2 linked regions of the Macaca mulatta genome follow. The protein of the gene in region 1 binds, or shares a complex with, the protein of each later gene. Links are inferred from orthologs where the notes say so. Each region holds a gene or a part of one and is shown on either strand. Other genes may lie near its edges. The genes, in order: GEMIN4 and STRAP.

Evidence for each region.
Region 2: GEMIN4 (region 1) and STRAP share a complex: the UniProt entries of both Homo sapiens proteins name them as parts of the SMN-Sm complex. The link is inferred for Macaca mulatta from reciprocal best matches to the Homo sapiens genes GEMIN4 and STRAP.

Annotation. Positions count from the first base shown.
Region 1 is NC_133421.1:2,294,947-2,299,554, forward strand, and holds the start of GEMIN4 (gem-associated protein 4), read right to left. Parts: upstream 3,034-4,608; coding exon 3,024-3,033; coding exon of another isoform or gene 2,631-3,023; exon of another isoform or gene 1,176-2,630; intron 1,162-1,175; exon of another isoform or gene 901-1,161; intron 1-900. Other genes in the region: uncharacterized protein LOC721152, read left to right, coding at 2,631-4,205. UniProt on the Homo sapiens protein: The SMN complex catalyzes the assembly of small nuclear ribonucleoproteins (snRNPs), the building blocks of the spliceosome, and thereby plays an important role in the splicing of cellular pre-mRNAs.
Region 2 is NC_133416.1:18,364,115-18,367,922, reverse strand, and holds part of STRAP (serine-threonine kinase receptor-associated protein), read right to left. Parts: intron 2,161-3,808; coding exon 2,064-2,160; intron 855-2,063; coding exon 717-854; intron 1-716. UniProt on the Homo sapiens protein: The SMN complex catalyzes the assembly of small nuclear ribonucleoproteins (snRNPs), the building blocks of the spliceosome, and thereby plays an important role in the splicing of cellular pre-mRNAs.

The sequences.
Region 1 (4,608 bases):
ATAGCAGGAAGGCAAACTACAGGGGCCACTGAGCATGTACCACAGGACATGACAGCTGAGCTTCTCATGACAGATGAAGGGGGCATAGCCACAGGGTAATGGGCACACAAGCAATCACACAGTCACAGGGTAATGGGCACAGAAGCAATCACACAGCCACAGGGTAATGGGCACACAAGCAATCACACAGTCACAGGGTAATGGGCACAGAAGCAATCACACAGCCACAGGGTAATGGGCACAGAAGCAATCACACAGCCACAGGGTAATGGGCACAGAAGCAGTCATACAGCCACAGGGTAAAGGGCACAGAGCAATCACACAGCCACAGGGTAACGGGCACAGAAGCAATCACACAGCCACAGAGTAACGGGCACAGAAGCAATCACACAGCCACAGGGTAACAGGCACACAGCAATCACACAGCCACAGGATAATGGGCACAGAAGCAGTCATACAGCCACAGGGTAACGGGCACAGAAGCAATCACACAGCCACAGGGTAACGGGCACACAATCAGACAGCCACAGGGTAACGGGCACACAGCAATCACACAGCCACAGAGTAATGGGCACAGAGCAATCACACAGCCACAGGGTAATGGGCACAGAGCAATCACACAGCCATGGAGTAATGGGCACAGAGCAATCACACAGCCATGGAGTAATGGGCACAGAAGGAATCAGACAAGCCCTGCCTTCACCCTTTACAACCTTGCCTTGGGAACAGGCCTCAAACATTCTTCTACCTTTCAGGTAAACAGTCCACCCCACAGCTCCTTCTGGTCAAAAACAAGCTACTCATGGCCCTGCTCTGTGGGAGAAACCAGGGAGTAGATACAGAAAATACTGTGCTAGATTAAGCCTTCCTTCAGGGAACTAACGATTGACACAGACTTACCATGGAAAGCATCTTGGGATGTTTAATCAGACATGGGTTTAAATCCTAGCTCAGCCATTTAAAAACAATGTGATTCTGGCCACGTGCAGTGGCTAGCACTTGTAATCCCAGCTACTTGGCGGGGCTGAGGCAGGTGGATCCTTGAGGCCAGGAGTTCAAGACTAGCTGGGGTAACATAATGAGAACCCCCTCCATCTCCAAAAAAAAAAAAAAAAAAAAGGATGTAATCTTGGTCAAGTTGCTTCTCCAAGCCTTCCTTCTGCATATGTGGGGATAATACAGACTTCATGTTATAACTTTGAGGATCATGTGATATATACCAGTCAAGCCCTTTCTAGGGGGTTGGTATTGCTATCTCCTGACCCCATCTCTCCGGGACGCTATGATAGATAAATACAGCTACAATAAGAATCGGGTTACAGAGTCTAGTTAGGTACTCAGTAAATGTTGGTTTCCCCAAACCTTTTCATAGTTGGCAGGACCAGAATCTTGTCACTATTCTTTGCCTCCCCCAGCTCAGAAACATCAAAGGATATAGGCCTTTATCAGGCATGTTTCCTTTGGCCTAGAAACTAAAACGAGGGTACAAATACTGCTTCCTATTCCTCATTCCTGAGGCCTCTCCCCTCTCCTAGGATTGAGAGATGCTACTCCTTCCTCAGTCTCTCATGCCCACGAGAGCTCATATTCCCCATTTTCCCAGGCCAGACACCAGCAGAGAAAACGCTGACTCCAGGAAACTAAGGACCATCTTACCCTTCCCACCATTTATGAGAGCAGCAGCAGGACAAGGGTTCAGCACTATGTAACCCACTTGTGGAGGCAATCCATCTCAGCTCACAGTGGCTGAATCTGACTCCCAGGGAAGGTCAGGCTGCAGAGGGGACCTCTCTGGGGGTTACGGCCCTTCTTTCTGGCTCAGGAGGCTCTCCCAGGGTCCCAAAATATGGTCCCTCCTGACGCTGTAAATTTTATTTTATTGCATTATTGGATTAGCTGAGCAGATGTTTGGCCCTCAACACCTGCCTTCCAGGCGCAGTAAGTACCCACAGTTTGAAGTAGTAAGTCAGTTACTAGCTGGAAAACACTCCGGTGCTTCATCACGGATGGTTAATTAGTGCTTACCAGAGCCCGCTTCTAAGGTTTATTATGCGCCTACTCCATGCCAGGCACGGTGCTAGGTGGTGCACATGTAAGATCTCTTCGATTCACAACCACCTTTTGAGGACTATTATTCCGGTTTTAGAGAAGAAGACACTGAGGCGCAGAAACGATTTGCTGAGGGTGCCCCCGCCTGGATGTGGTGGGGCTGGGAAGCAATTACGGCTAAGGGGCTCCAAGCCCTAAGAGTTCTGCCATACCGCTCCTGAAGAGCTCTCTGGGGGCGGGGAACAGACCATTTCCCCCCAGCCTACTACTGCTGACACATCTCGGGGTGCCTCACCCCCAGCTCTCCCAGAACAGCCTCCTGGTCTTAGCAGCCTGTGTCGAGGCTTAGCAGGGAGCTCCTAGTTCCAGGGTTCCCCCTCTCCCAGACCTTGCAAGATTCTGAATCAGGACGCACGCAGGTTCAGAAAGTGACGCCTCAGGAACACAGCCGCCCCAACCGCGGTGTGACCCGCGCAGCCCTGCACGGGACACTGTGCCTCGGCGATCTCCATGAAAAGTCGCCCAACACTCAGTGGGGAGACACACTGTCATTCCCCCAGCTCTGTCGATGAGGAAACCTGATGAGCGTAAGACACTTGGAGCCTAAGACGCTTGCTCAAGAACGCAGTTGCCGTTCAGAAAATGAGGCCGCCGGGACACCCGGGGGTGCTCGGAGAAAGCCCGTTTCTCAAAGCACGTGCGCGAGCCCCGGGCCCCGGGCGTTTCCAGGGGCTCTCACTTTACGTCTGCTCGGTGTTTTCCCGCGGAGTGGGCAAGACCCGGCCCAACGCGCAGCGGGACCCGGACCACCCCCGTCAAGGCCACCCGGGGACCCCCAGACCCGCCCCGACGTGGTGGACGCTTTGGCCCGGGCCCAAGCGAGCGTGCGCGGCAGGAGGAGACGCGACGGGGCGGCACCGTCCCGGTGGCGCATCGCGAGACGCAGCCCGGGGCTGAGGAGACGCGACACCCACCTAGGTCCATGGCGGCGACGCCGGCGGCCGAGCGGGGCTAACGCCCCCTCTACTCCGAGAACGCGAACGCGGCGCGGGACGCACAGCACAATGGACGGCGCAGGCGCCACGGCGGCGGCGCTCAGGCCCCGCCCACAGTCTCCCCTGCGCACGCGCAGTCCTCACGAACGAGCGCGCCAAGCGCACAGCGCCGCCTTCCGGCAGAGGCCTCCCACCCACCCTCAGGTACCAGGCGTCGCTCCCCAGACCCTCCGCACCGTCCCCTGCCCTGGCCCGCTTCCGGGGTCTCAGCGGGTCCGGCTCACGAGTCCCCGGCCCCGCATTCACCCTCACCCGGTAACCCCGGGCGTGCCCCGCACACAGCTCACCGCCACCGAGCGCCTCCCGCGGGCCGCCCACTACCCAGCGCGGCCGCACCGCGCGAGCCTTCCACTCCCACGCGTCCAGTCCGCCCCCCACACAGTCCCTCAACGCGCTCCTGCCGCGCGGCGCCGCCCCCTTCAGACAGCAGCGGCCCGGATCCTAGACGCTTTTGACGGCTGTTCCTCCCCAGAAAATGCACCGTGTGAGCCCAAACGTGGTGGGGTGGCGCCAGTACGCGGGACCCCGAGCTTGCAGCCTGTGCTTGAGAAAACACAAACATCGTGTGCCTGCCTGCGTTCCCCCCTGAGATCGAGTAGTAACCGCCATTCCAACTCTCCACCTCCAGCTTCGAGCACCAGGCACCGCCTCCACCCCCTCATGTGCCAAGTGGAGTTCGAGCTGGCGCGCGCGGCCCTCAAGCAGCTGAAGGGTCCTGTGAGCGATCCGGAGAAGCTGCTGATCTACGGCCTCTACAAACAGGCCACCCAGGGCGACTGCGGCATCCCCGCCCCTCCGGCCTCAGACGTGAAGGCCAGGGCCAAGTGGGAGGCTTGGAGCGCGAACAAAGGGGTGTCCAAGATGGACGCCATGAGGAGCTACGCGGCCAAAGTGGAGGAGCTGAAGAAGAAGGAAGTGGGGGGCAGGGAGCGCGAACAAAGGGGTGTCCAAGATGGACGCCGTGAGGAGCTAGGCGGCCAGAGTGAGGAGCTGAAGAAGGAAGTGGGCGGCATGGAGCGCGAACAAAGGGGTGTCCAAGATGGACGCCATGAGGGGCTACGCGGCCAGAGTGAGGAGGTGAAGAAGGAAGAGGCTGGCTGAGGGCTCCTCGGGAATGGAAAGGGATTCTTAGACCTTGATGGCTGAAACGTCCTGAAACTGTCGCAAGCTTAGCCGAGACATCAATAAATCACTTAAACTGCGTGAGAGTGACCGACTGCTGTTGGAACAGAGGAACTGGAGGAACTCGGTGACTGAGTGCTGGGGAGGCGTCCAAATACACAGACTGGCTTTTTGTATGGTTTTGGGTGGAGTTCCCAGCCCTCCTATTACAAGAGCGTATGTAGGTATTTGGCAGGAGAGAGGGGCACAGTGTGCTGTGGAAACGCCCAAGATCTGAGGGCAGGAGACCATTCTCCAGTGACGGCCTCTTGGGAGGCTGAGGCCCCAGCCCCTTTTCTCTTCAAGGCGGATTCACTAATACCCCAACACCACAGAGGGGAGC
Region 2 (3,808 bases), on another chromosome or scaffold:
GCTCTGTTACCCAGGCTAGAATGCAGTGGTGCGACCTCAGCTCACTACAACCTCCACCTCCTGTACTTAAGCAATTCTCCTGCCTCGCCTCCCAAATAGCTGGGACTACAGAAAAGCTAATTTTTCTTCTTTTTGTATTTTTATTTTAGAGACGGGGTTTCACCACGTTGGCCAGGCTGGTCTCGAACCCCTGACCTCAAGTGATCCGCCCACCTCAGCCTCCCAAGGTGCTGGGATAACAGACGTGAGCCACCACGCCCAGCCCGCAATGGTTTTATCTAGTAAAAAAACATAAATTACATTACCAATCCAGCAGTTTTTGCTTTTTCTTTTTTTTTTTTTTTCTTTTTCAGAGGATGTTTTGCTCTGTCATCCAGACTGGAGTGCAGTGTCAGGATCACAGCACAATGCAGCCTCAACCTCCCAGGCTCCAGCAACTCTCTCACCTCTGCTTCCCAAGCAGCTGGACTATAGGCATGTGCCACCACGACCAGCTAATTTTATTTTTTGTAGAGATGGGGGTCTCACTGTGTTGTCCAGGCTGGTCTCAAGCCATCCTCCCACCTCAGCCTCCTAAAGTGCTGCGATTTATAGGCATTAGCCACCATTCCTGGCCTCTTTACTTTTAAAAAAAAAGTAAATATCTTTCCATTTTTAAGTAGCCAAATTGTCTTTTGTTACCTAAAACAGAAAATGAAAGTATTTCTTGGACATACCTTACTGCACTATGAAAAGCAATAGATCGTCCATAAGTTATAACCAAAATCTCTCCCTCAGGAATATATTCCATACTACTAACAGACATATTAAAATTTAGAGATTTTACTTCTGTCATGGTAGCATGATCCCAAAGTCTGCAAAATAAAAATAAAAATATGATGATGTTTACTCATGTCAGAAAAAAGCTTATAAATTCTAATTACATCTGCAGATTAGCCAAAGAAAGAACAATCACAATTACAGAAAAACAACATTCATTCCAAGTCACAATTACAGATGATAAAAAGAAATTCTGGGTTTCTATATACAATGTCAAATTATGCATGACAACAGCTTGTAAGTAAAATCAACTTTAATACCTACATATACTTCCCAATTTGGCAAAACTACATAAGACAAGTTCGAATCTAGTCAATTTCAGCACTGCTATAAATAGTGGTTCTTACACTCTGTTTTTGTGAATCTAGCAATAGCTACACATCTTTCCAAAGAAATATACATCAGGTGTCAGCAAACAAGATTTTTGTATAGAATTTCAGAGGCTTCATGGACCCTCCCTTTAACCTGCCCACAGACCCAGGTTAAGAACACCTGCTTATAAGAGATCAGGATTTAATTTTCTTCTGAATTTTGCTGTCTGTATATACAAGGTGAGCATCCCTTATAGAAAATACTTGCGACCAGAAAGAAGTTGGATTTCAAACTTTTTCGGATTTTGGAATATTTGCATCAGACACTTACCGATTGAGAATCCCTAACCTGAAAACAGAAAATTCAAAATGCTCTAATGAGCATTTCCTTTAAGCATCAAGTCAGCACTCAAAGTCTCAGATTTCAGAGCGTTTCAAATTTCAGATTTTCAGGTTAGGGATACTTGACCTGTAATAGTAAATAGCTCCAGATAAATGTGACCTGGGTGCAACTTAAATTTTAATGTTCAGAACATTTTTTGCACATAATATTAAATGTATTTAAAATACAAGCTCTAAGGTAAAATATTTTTCAAATTTTAAGTTTGCTTTTTGTTTTTGAGACAGTCTAGCTCTGTCACCCAGGCTAGAGTGCAATGGCGCAATTTCGACTCTCAGCAACCTCTGTCTCCCAGATTCAAGTGATTCTCCTGCCTCAGCCTCCCGAGTAGCTGGGATTACAGGTGTGTGCCAGCACACCTGGCTAAGTTTTGTAATTTTCATAGAGACAGTGTTTTGTCATGTTGGCCAGGCTGGTCTAGTACTCCTGACCTCAAATGATCCATCCACCTCACCTCCCAAAGTGCTGGGATTACAGGCATGAGCCACCATGCCCAGCCTCAAATTGTAAATTATTTTAAAAAAAGTACTTACCGAACAGTTTTGTCATCAGCAGAAAGAATCTGTTTATCCTCACTGCACCACAGAGCTTTTTTTATACCAGAAGTGTGACCACTAATTTCCTTAGGTTCTTGAGATAAAACAATTAAAAGTACATTTGTTAATACATGATTTTTTTAACTGAACAATATTGAAACTATTATATATTTTAAAAAACACACATTTTAAATTAGACTGCAACTTTTCAAAGCCCAGCCCAATTCAAACCTGATATTTATACAGAATACAGTTAGTTTTTCCATACTGGAACATAAATTTACCTGCATGACAGGGACTCAAGGAACTACTATGCTTGCTATATGTAGCTGAGTGAATGCACCACTCACTCCCTCTAGGCTAAATTTCTGCACAACTGATAATATTCAAAAGCATTATTGTATCGCCATGAAATAAAATAATAATTAATGTGGCACAATTTAATAAGAACATGGACCTAGGAACAAGATAGTTGAAACTGATTCTAGTACTATGGCTAACTCTGGGACCTTCATCCAAGCAGCTATTGATAGTAACTAATAGGAAGTAAGAGTTAGAAGGAAAAAGGGAAACAGAAAGTGGGACAGCAATTCCCAAGAATGTTTCTACACTGTGAGGAAAACATTAAAAAAAAAAAAAAAAAAAAAGGAAGGGAGTTTAAATCTGTAGGAGATTATCCTTTCAAAGGACTTCAAAAAACCCTCACTGCTTTCTCTAGGGGCAAAAGCAGACACTGGAGGCAATGCCATTCAACACTATTTTCACCTTTGGGCATGTTACTTAAGTTTTTAACTTTATTTCCTTATCTGTAAAATGAGATAACAATGGTTACAAATGAGAATAGTGCTTAACAGATAACCTGATACACAGTAAAACCTCACTAAGTTGCTATCATTTCTGCTGCCAGCACAGCGAGAAAGAGCAACTTTCATAAAACAGCTTTGGGAAAGGCAGAGTATGAAAAATGTCCACCCAATCCCTGAACTACCTTGCTTTGACCCAATCCCTGAACTACCTTGCTTTGACCCAATCCCTGAACTACCTTGCTTTGCTGAATGAGTTGACAGATTAAGTGAGGTCAGAGTCCTTTCCTATGCTTTGGCATAAATTTATCAAAAAAGAAAGCAGAAAAAAAACCCTACATGCAACGGAGAATAAAAAAATCTGTAAATGGGCTTTGTTTCCTCACCTTAAAAATGTTTTCGTAACAAACTACCCTAACACTAAAACGTAAAATATTTTAAAAAGCTCTCAGAAATGGAAGGTATCTCAAGAGAACAACTGCTTAATTTCCAATGCGGTTCTGACTCTTATTACTCTTTTCAATGTTATAGATTTATGACTACATAAATGCCCACATAATAAAATTTCAAAGATACCAAACATATAATAAAACAAAATTATGTTTGTCATGTTTTGGTAGCTAAGTATATATATATATGGTGAGGGCAATGATTAAAATATTATAAAATAAAGTATGTAGAGTGGGGATGACACCTATAACTTCTGTAAAATGAGAGAATGCATAAAGGATTTCACCACCAAAATGTTAAAAAGTACACACCATAAAACCGCCTTAACAAAATTTAAAAGCAAATGATAAATTGGAATTCAATAAAGAATCTTTAAAAACCAGTAAGAAAAACATGAACACAACAGATAAATGGGCCACGGGTAGACAGGCAATTATTTCATAAAAAAGGAAATACGTTAAAATGGTATTCAACAGCATTTTAATCTCA